Callithrix jacchus: one gene and its partner. The protein of the gene in region 1 purifies or fractionates together with the protein of each later gene. This does not show direct contact. Links are inferred from orthologs where the notes say so. Each region holds a gene or a part of one and is shown on either strand. Other genes may lie near its edges.

The links. Proteins that work in one complex are often made in the same cells at the same time.
Region 2: the proteins of EIF3L (region 1) and ZNF746 purify together in Homo sapiens (affinity purification with mass spectrometry; 3 studies listed by BioGRID and IntAct, counting the BioPlex papers as one, with this or other methods). This does not show direct contact. The link is inferred for Callithrix jacchus from reciprocal best matches to the Homo sapiens genes EIF3L and ZNF746.

What each region holds. Positions count from the first base shown.
Region 1 is NC_133502.1:208,875,685-208,879,329, forward strand, and holds part of EIF3L (eukaryotic translation initiation factor 3 subunit L), read left to right. Parts: intron 1-1,250; coding exon 1,251-1,422; intron 1,423-3,645. UniProt on the Homo sapiens protein: Component of the eukaryotic translation initiation factor 3 (eIF-3) complex, which is required for several steps in the initiation of protein synthesis.
Region 2 is NC_133512.1:98,258,683-98,262,327, reverse strand, and holds part of ZNF746 (zinc finger protein 746), read right to left. Parts: intron 3,425-3,645; coding exon 3,125-3,424; intron 3,045-3,124; coding exon 2,918-3,044; intron 1,909-2,917; coding exon 1,795-1,908; intron 1-1,794.

The DNA.
Region 1 (3,645 bases):
CGTTGTTCTTTTGCTGCAGTTTGCATGATAGGAGTGTACAGTGCCTCTGATGGGGAACATTGGATTTGTCAGTTTCCACAGTTACAGGCAGTGAATCAATGAATATCCATATATGTGTTATCCATAGGCATATTTTTAGGGATCACTACCTAGAAGTAGAATTTTTGATTGAAGGATACTTGCTTTTTATTTTATTTTTATTCTTTAATTTTTTTGAGATGGAGTCTTGCTCTGTTGCCAGGCCGGAGCGCAGTAATGCGACCTTGGGTCACTGCAGCCTCCAACTCCTGGGTTCAAGTGATTTTCCTGCCTCACCCTCCTGAGTAGCTGGGACTACAGGCAAGCGCCACCAGGCCCAGCTAGTTTTTATATTTTTAGTAGAGATGGGGTTTCACCATGTTGGCCAGGATGGTCTCAATCTCTTGACCTCATGATCCACCCACCTCCACCTTCCAAAGTACTGAGATTACAGGCATGAGCCACCACCCCTGGCTTTTTCTTTTTTTGACATGGAGTTTTGCTCTTCTTGTCCAGTCTGGAGTGCAGTGGCATGATCTTGGCTCACTGCAACCTCCACCTCTTGGGTTCAAGCAACCCTCCTGCCTCACCCTCCTGAGTAGCTGGGACTACAGGCAAGCGCCACCAGGCCCAGCTAGTTTTTATATTTTTAGTAGAGATGGGGTTTCACCATGTTGGCCAGGATGGTCTCAATCTCTTGACCTCATGATCCACCCACCTCCACCTTCCAAAGTACTGAGATTACAGGCATGAGCCACCACCCCTGGCTTTTTCTTTTTTTGACATGGAGTTTTGCTCTTCTTGTCCAGTCTGGAGTGCAGTGGCATGATCTTGGCTCACTGCAACCTCCACCTCTTGGGTTCAAGCAACCCTCCTGCCTCAGCGTCCTGAGTAGCTGGGATTACAGGCATGAGCCACCATGCCCAGCTAATTTTTTGTATTTTTAGTAAAGATAGGGTTTCTCCATGTTGGTCATGCTGGTCTCGATCTCCCGACCTGAGGTGATCCACCCACCTCAGCCTCCCAAAGTGCTGGGATTACAGGCATGAGCCGCCATGCCCAGCTTGTTTTTCTATCATAAAATTAGCAACTTCTGTTTAGAATGAGAAGTGGTTGTCTCACCGTCACCTCATCCTGTCCAGAGCCAGAGCATTGTGTCCTTTGCAGCACTGTGCACGGGGACGATCACTGTGGGCTCATACCACTACCGTGTGTTTCCTTCCTACTCACAGTTCCAGTCCTTCAGTCAGTACCGCTGCAAGACTGCCAAGAAGTCAGAGGAGGAGATTGACTTCCTTCGTTCCAATCCCAAAATCTGGAATGTTCACAGTGTCCTGAATGTCCTTCATTCCCTAGTAGACAAATCCAACATCAACCGACAGTTGGAGGTATACACAAGCGGAGGTGAGCACAGCAGGCTGACAGCCGCTACCTATGAATTTCCAGCTGCTTGCCATCTGTTCCAAAGGAATAGATACTGCAGGTAGAGCAGGCGAGTCACCACGTCTTAGGCAACGGGCTGTTGACTCTTCCTAGGTGCTTGAGTACGAACAGCAGCAGAGTGTTCATGCTGGGGGCTGTGGGGCTTGGGAGTCTGTTGGCCAAAAAACTGAACCAGCACATTGAGATTTGCATTTGTAAACATTTCTACTGTGTCTGCAGCGCTTTTGTTTAGATAAGCACTTCTCACACGTGTTAGTGTCAGAGCCCATTTTAGCCTGTTAAAATATTGAGAACCCCAAAATGTATATTAAAAAAAAAATGGGGGACTGGGCCCGATGGCTCATGCCTGTAATCCCAACACTTTGGGAGTCTGAGGCGGGAGGATCATAAGGTCAGGAGTTTGAGACCATCCTGGCCAACGTGGTAAAACCCCATCTCTACTAAAAATATAAAAATTAGGCATGGCGGCATGTGCTTGTAATCCCAGCTACTCAGGAGGCTGAGGCAGGAGAATCACTTGAAACCAGGGAGGCGGAGGTTGCAGTTAGCCGAGATCATGCCACTGCACTCCAGCCTGGCAACAGAACAAGACTCCATCTCAAAAAAAAAATTTTTTTTTTCGGCCAGTCATGCTGGCTCACGCCTAGCCTGAGGACTTTGGGAGTCTGAGGAAGGCGGATCACAAGGTCAGGAGTTCAAGACCAGCCTGGCCAACGTGGCAAAACCCTGTCTCTACTTAAAAAATATAAAAATTAGCCAGGTGTGGTGACTCGTGCCTGTAATTCCAGCTGCTTGGGAGATTGAGGAAGAATTGCTGGAACCTGGGAGGTGGAGGTTGCAGTGAGCCAAGATTGCACCATTGCACTCCAACCCAGGACAACACCAAGACTGTCTCAAAAAAAATTTTTTTTTCAGTAAAGAGCGACATTTTTGTAGATCTCTCTGTGGCTGGCTTCATGCAAAATACCTGGCCTCTCATGTCTGCTTCTGCATTCAATCTGTTGCAGTGTGCACTTTGGTTTGAAGCACAGAAAGCTCACGCTTGTAATCCCAACACTTTGGAGGCTGAGGCAGGCGGAGCACATGAGGTCAGGAGTTCAAGAACAGCCTGGCCAACATGGTGAAACCCCATCTTTACTAAAAATATAAAAAATTAGCTGGGTGTGGTGGCGGGTGCCTATAATCCCAGCTACTCGGGAGGCTGAGGCAGGAGAATAGCTTGAACCCAGGAGGCGGAGGTTTCAGTGAGCCAGTCGCACTACTACACTCCAGCCTGGGTGACAGAGTGAGACTCTGTCTGAAAAAAAAAAAAAGATAGGCATATGCAGGTATTAAAAAATGCAAAATCCAAAAGGCTTCTGGTCACAAGCATTTATAGAATACTCACCCTGTACTACTTTGGAATAACCAGTGGCAGTTTCATACACATTAGGTGCAGTGAGGAATCTGAGGCTGTGTTAGTGAACTTTTCCTTCGTTACATATACATATATGTATATATATTTGAGATGGAGTCTCACTCTGTCATCAAGCTGGAGTGCAGTGGCATGATCTCCACTCTCTGCCATCTCCACGTCCTGGGTTTAAGTGATTCTCCTGCCTCAGCCTCCCGAGTAACTGGGAATACAGGCACACGCCGCCACTCCCAGCTCGTTTTTGTATTTTTTCAGCAGAGATGGGGTTTCACGATGTTGGTTCAGTATGGTCTCCATCTCTTGACCTCGTGATCTGCCCCCTCTGCTTCCCAAAGTTCCTGGGATTACAGGCGCGAGCCACCCTGCCTGGCTTTCCTTTGTTATATTAACGTTGTTGATTACTCCTATAATTTGAATGAGTTTCTTAAATCCGTGTCGTCCGCGTGTGGTTTTTTTTTTCCCTCTGAGACAGAGTCTGCTCTTTCAGCCAGGCAGAGTGCAGTGGCATGATCTCAGCTCATTGCAACCTCCATCTCCTGGGCTCAAGTGATTCTTGACAATTTGGTGTCGCTGCCTCATCCTCCCGGGTAGCTGGGATTACAGGCATGCATCACCATGCCCGGCTGATTTTTATATTTTTAGTAGAGACAAGGTTTCACACACTGGTCAGGCTAGTCTCGAATTCCTGTGCTCAAGTGATCTGCCTGCCACAACCTCCCGAAGTGCTGGGATTTGTGTGATTCTTTAAAAAAATACTGGATCACTGAGTT
Region 2 (3,645 bases), on another chromosome or scaffold:
GCGGAGGAGCATGCAGGCAGTGAGAAGGTGAGGTGAGGTCTCACAAGGCGATGGGCCAGGCCAAACATGGCAAGGGATGCGCTGTGATTCCTGGTTTCTTGGACCAAGAGGACGGGGATAAAGTCCACACAGGATCCCTGCTGACAGGCTCAAGGTGGACAGTAGAGTTTGTCTCTATTCATTTTGTCTACTGGTGGGTAGAGGCCACGGATGCTGCTAAACATCATACGATGCAGACAGAGTGTGGCGGGATCTTACCAGCAACCAACATAATTTGGGGGACTTCTTTACTCTCATTTAATGATGGTGTGGAAGCGAGGGAAGCCTCCACACACACTGTAAACACAATGAAACCCACCCACTGAGAACCTCCCACCCAGGCTAGGAGGCTGGACGCGCCTGGGTTGTAACCCTCTTTTCCAGCCTGAGGCTATCTGTTCTCAGTCATCTTTCTGTCCTCTAGCGCTCAGCACTGTCCTTGACACCTAGAAGATGCTCAAAATGCATCTGTGGAACTAAACTGTGAATGTCCTGATGATGACTGGTAAAGTGGCCCGCTCGGAACATGCTTTTGCCCTTAGGAAAGTACCAATCTAATTGAGATGAGATGACAAACATGGGAGCCGCGTTTAATTTCACACAGGTGGAGCGCAGGAGGCCCCTGCATAACACCACCTTTCTCAGTCTCAGACGAAAGGGAAAACCAAGGCAGGTGGGACGGTCAAGGGCGAGTCTTCTGGAGGAATCAGGGGTCCAGCCTGCCAGAGATGTGGTCTCCCTGGTCAAATGACCCAGCAGGTCTTCACTTCACTTTAGGAATTTTGTTTTCTCCTGTGCCCACCTGTCTTTCTCTTAACTTTCAAAGGTGCTGAGCAGCTCCAGGGAAATCTGAGACACTGGTATCTGGTAACCAGATTCACCTTAAATAAATGTGTGCTTCTAAATCAACCGAACCATATGGCTGACCAATGGGTGTATGTTCTACAACTGCTACTGCTCTAAATTCAGGTTGGTTTTCAGAGGCAAGGCTGACTCTTGGTAAAGCTTTGAATTAATATTATCTTCAATATACAGCTGACTCTTGAACAACATGGATTTGAACTATGGAGGCCCACTTACAAGTGGATTTTCTTCTGCCTCTGCCACCCCTGAGACAGCAAGAACAACCCCTCCTCTCCCTCCTCAGCCTGCTCAGTCTGAAGATGACACTGAGGATGATGACGTTATGAGGACCCCCTTCCACTTAATGAGTAGCAAACATATTTCCTTTTCCTTGTTTTCCTAACATTTTTTCTGTAGCTTATTTAAAGAATACAATACATAGTAACCAGGACATATAAATTATGTATTATTGACTGTACATAGTATCAGTAAGGCTTCTGGTCAACAGGAGACTATTAGCAGTTAACTTTCTGGAGAGTCAAGTTAGACATAGACCTTGGGCTGCGTGGGATTGGGGTCTGTCACCCCTGGTCCCCGTGTTGTTCAAGAGTCGACTATTCTCCGGCCTTCCCTCTCAGTGTCCTCCTCTCCCTCCTGTCATCTGTGCCCTGGCTTTGACTCTTCCTAAAAGAGTAGGTTTGCCACCTGTTTCCCTGATAGAAAGTGTTCATTCCTGGAGCATTAGCTGAGTAAGTCAGAGGTTAAAACTCCACTATAAAAAAACTCAGACCAAACACAAGTAAGTTTGATGTGTCTCCTCGGCTCTCTCTGGGAAGATCACACCGTTCCTGGCCTTTCTGTCTGTCTCCCGCAGATCACCTGATGCCTCCCTGGCCTTCTCCCAGCCCTTACCTGGACTGGGGTCCACAGGAACATCTGGAATCTTGGGGCCGGGGCGGCGCCAGCTGCACGGCTCCTTCCCTTGTTCAATCTGGGAGAGGACCTCGGGCTTGGAGATGGCATAGTCTGAGGAAAGACAGAAGGTTAGTTTTCACCTCGTTCCAGTCAGAGCTGGGGACAGTCAGCCCGGAAAACCAACAGTGGTCTAGAAAGGAAATCTCTTGATCGTCATAGAGCAGGAGCTCTCAGTCACAGGCAATTTTCCTCCCGGGGACGTGCGGCAAAGTCTGGACAGAATTCTGATCGCTGTGCCCAGGGCTTGGGGAGAGGTGACTGGCATCTGGGGGGTAGAGGCCAGGGCTGCTGCTGAACATCCTACAACGCAGAGGACGGCCCCGACCCAGAATCACCCGGTCCCAAATGTCAGCAGTGCCAGAGTGAAGAAACTGCCACAGAGCGTGCATGTGAAACAGCGGCACACTTGTGCTGATGAAATGTCACCTCACGACTGTACCTGCTCCTGTCCTCTCTATCAGGTCTCACTGCCCTCAGCTCTGGGGTCACACAGAAACCATCAGGAAGAGGAAATCAGCCCAGGAAGAAACAGAGTCCAGGCCCTTCCTGGGCAGGATCAAAGGAGGAGAGCAGCAGTAGCCCCAGGGGCTGAGGGAAGCAGAGTTTTGAGGCATGAAGAAAATGTCTGCTGCAAGCAGCACCGTCTGCCCACGTTATCCACTGACCTTGAGGCATGTCACCGTAAGGGCCACAAATCTCTGTGGGAGAAGGCTGAAAGAAAGAGTCTTTCTCAAATGTGAGTGGATTACATACTGGATCTGAGAGCAGGAGGGGCCTTCCTTGCTCCAAGTCAGCACCAACAGAAAGGTCCACACCCTGGGCCTGCAGAGAAGAGACACCGCCACCTTTCCTATCCTGGCATTCTGGGACCCTCTGCACAGGGAGAAGGGAGCTTTTGATTCCATCACCCAGGGCTCATCTTTCACAGGAGGTAACAACTTGCAAGGTAAACAATGTTTCTGGTGATTCACATATCACTGCCAGGAAACAACTATGTGGAGAGAGAAGTTTGAGGACTTGCAAAATCCCATTTAACAGAGAAATGAGTGTCAGGCCTTACCCAGGGAGACCAGCGTCTCGTAGTTGCCCCTCATCACATGCTTGTAGAGCTCCTTCTGCCAGTCCTCCAGCTTGCCCCACTCCTGCTCGGAGAAATACACGGCCACATCATCAAAGGTCACGGGCACCTGAAACCACAAGTGTCACATTCACTCACTCACAGGCTTTGCCCCTTGGGCTCCCACACCCCAGGGCATCCCAGGGCTACCTTGGGGGCCTCCCCCTTGCTGCCCGGGGGCAGCCGCAGGATCCAGAAGTTCCTGTTGCGAAGCAGGTTCTCCACGTTCTCCAGCCGCCTCTGCAGCAGCCCATACTCCTGCAGGAGGGTTCCCAGCACGGCCCACTTGCCCTCCAGCTGGTTCCCGAACTCCACGGCTGTTTTCTCGCAGTCGGCCAGCTTCTTCTCAGCCATCCCAGTTCGACCTTCTAGGGAAAGCAGGCGAGCAGCCTGTGATTCAATCTTCCTCTCCATGGCCTGAATCGTGGCTGCCATTGTCCACGGAGAAATCTTTCAGAAACAAGAGAGAAACAGCATCATTCATTCCACCCATTGTCTTCATTGAGCCCCTCTCCCCCTAAGCACAGGGGAGCGGGGCTGGGAGCCCGTATGTGTGGACAAGTGGGGCCATCCCGTACCACATGCCAGATCTCAAGTTGGCAATCAATGCTTGGGTATCTTAGGTCTATGTGTGGGTGGGTGCCCTTGCTCCAGGCCTCTGCAGCACAGTG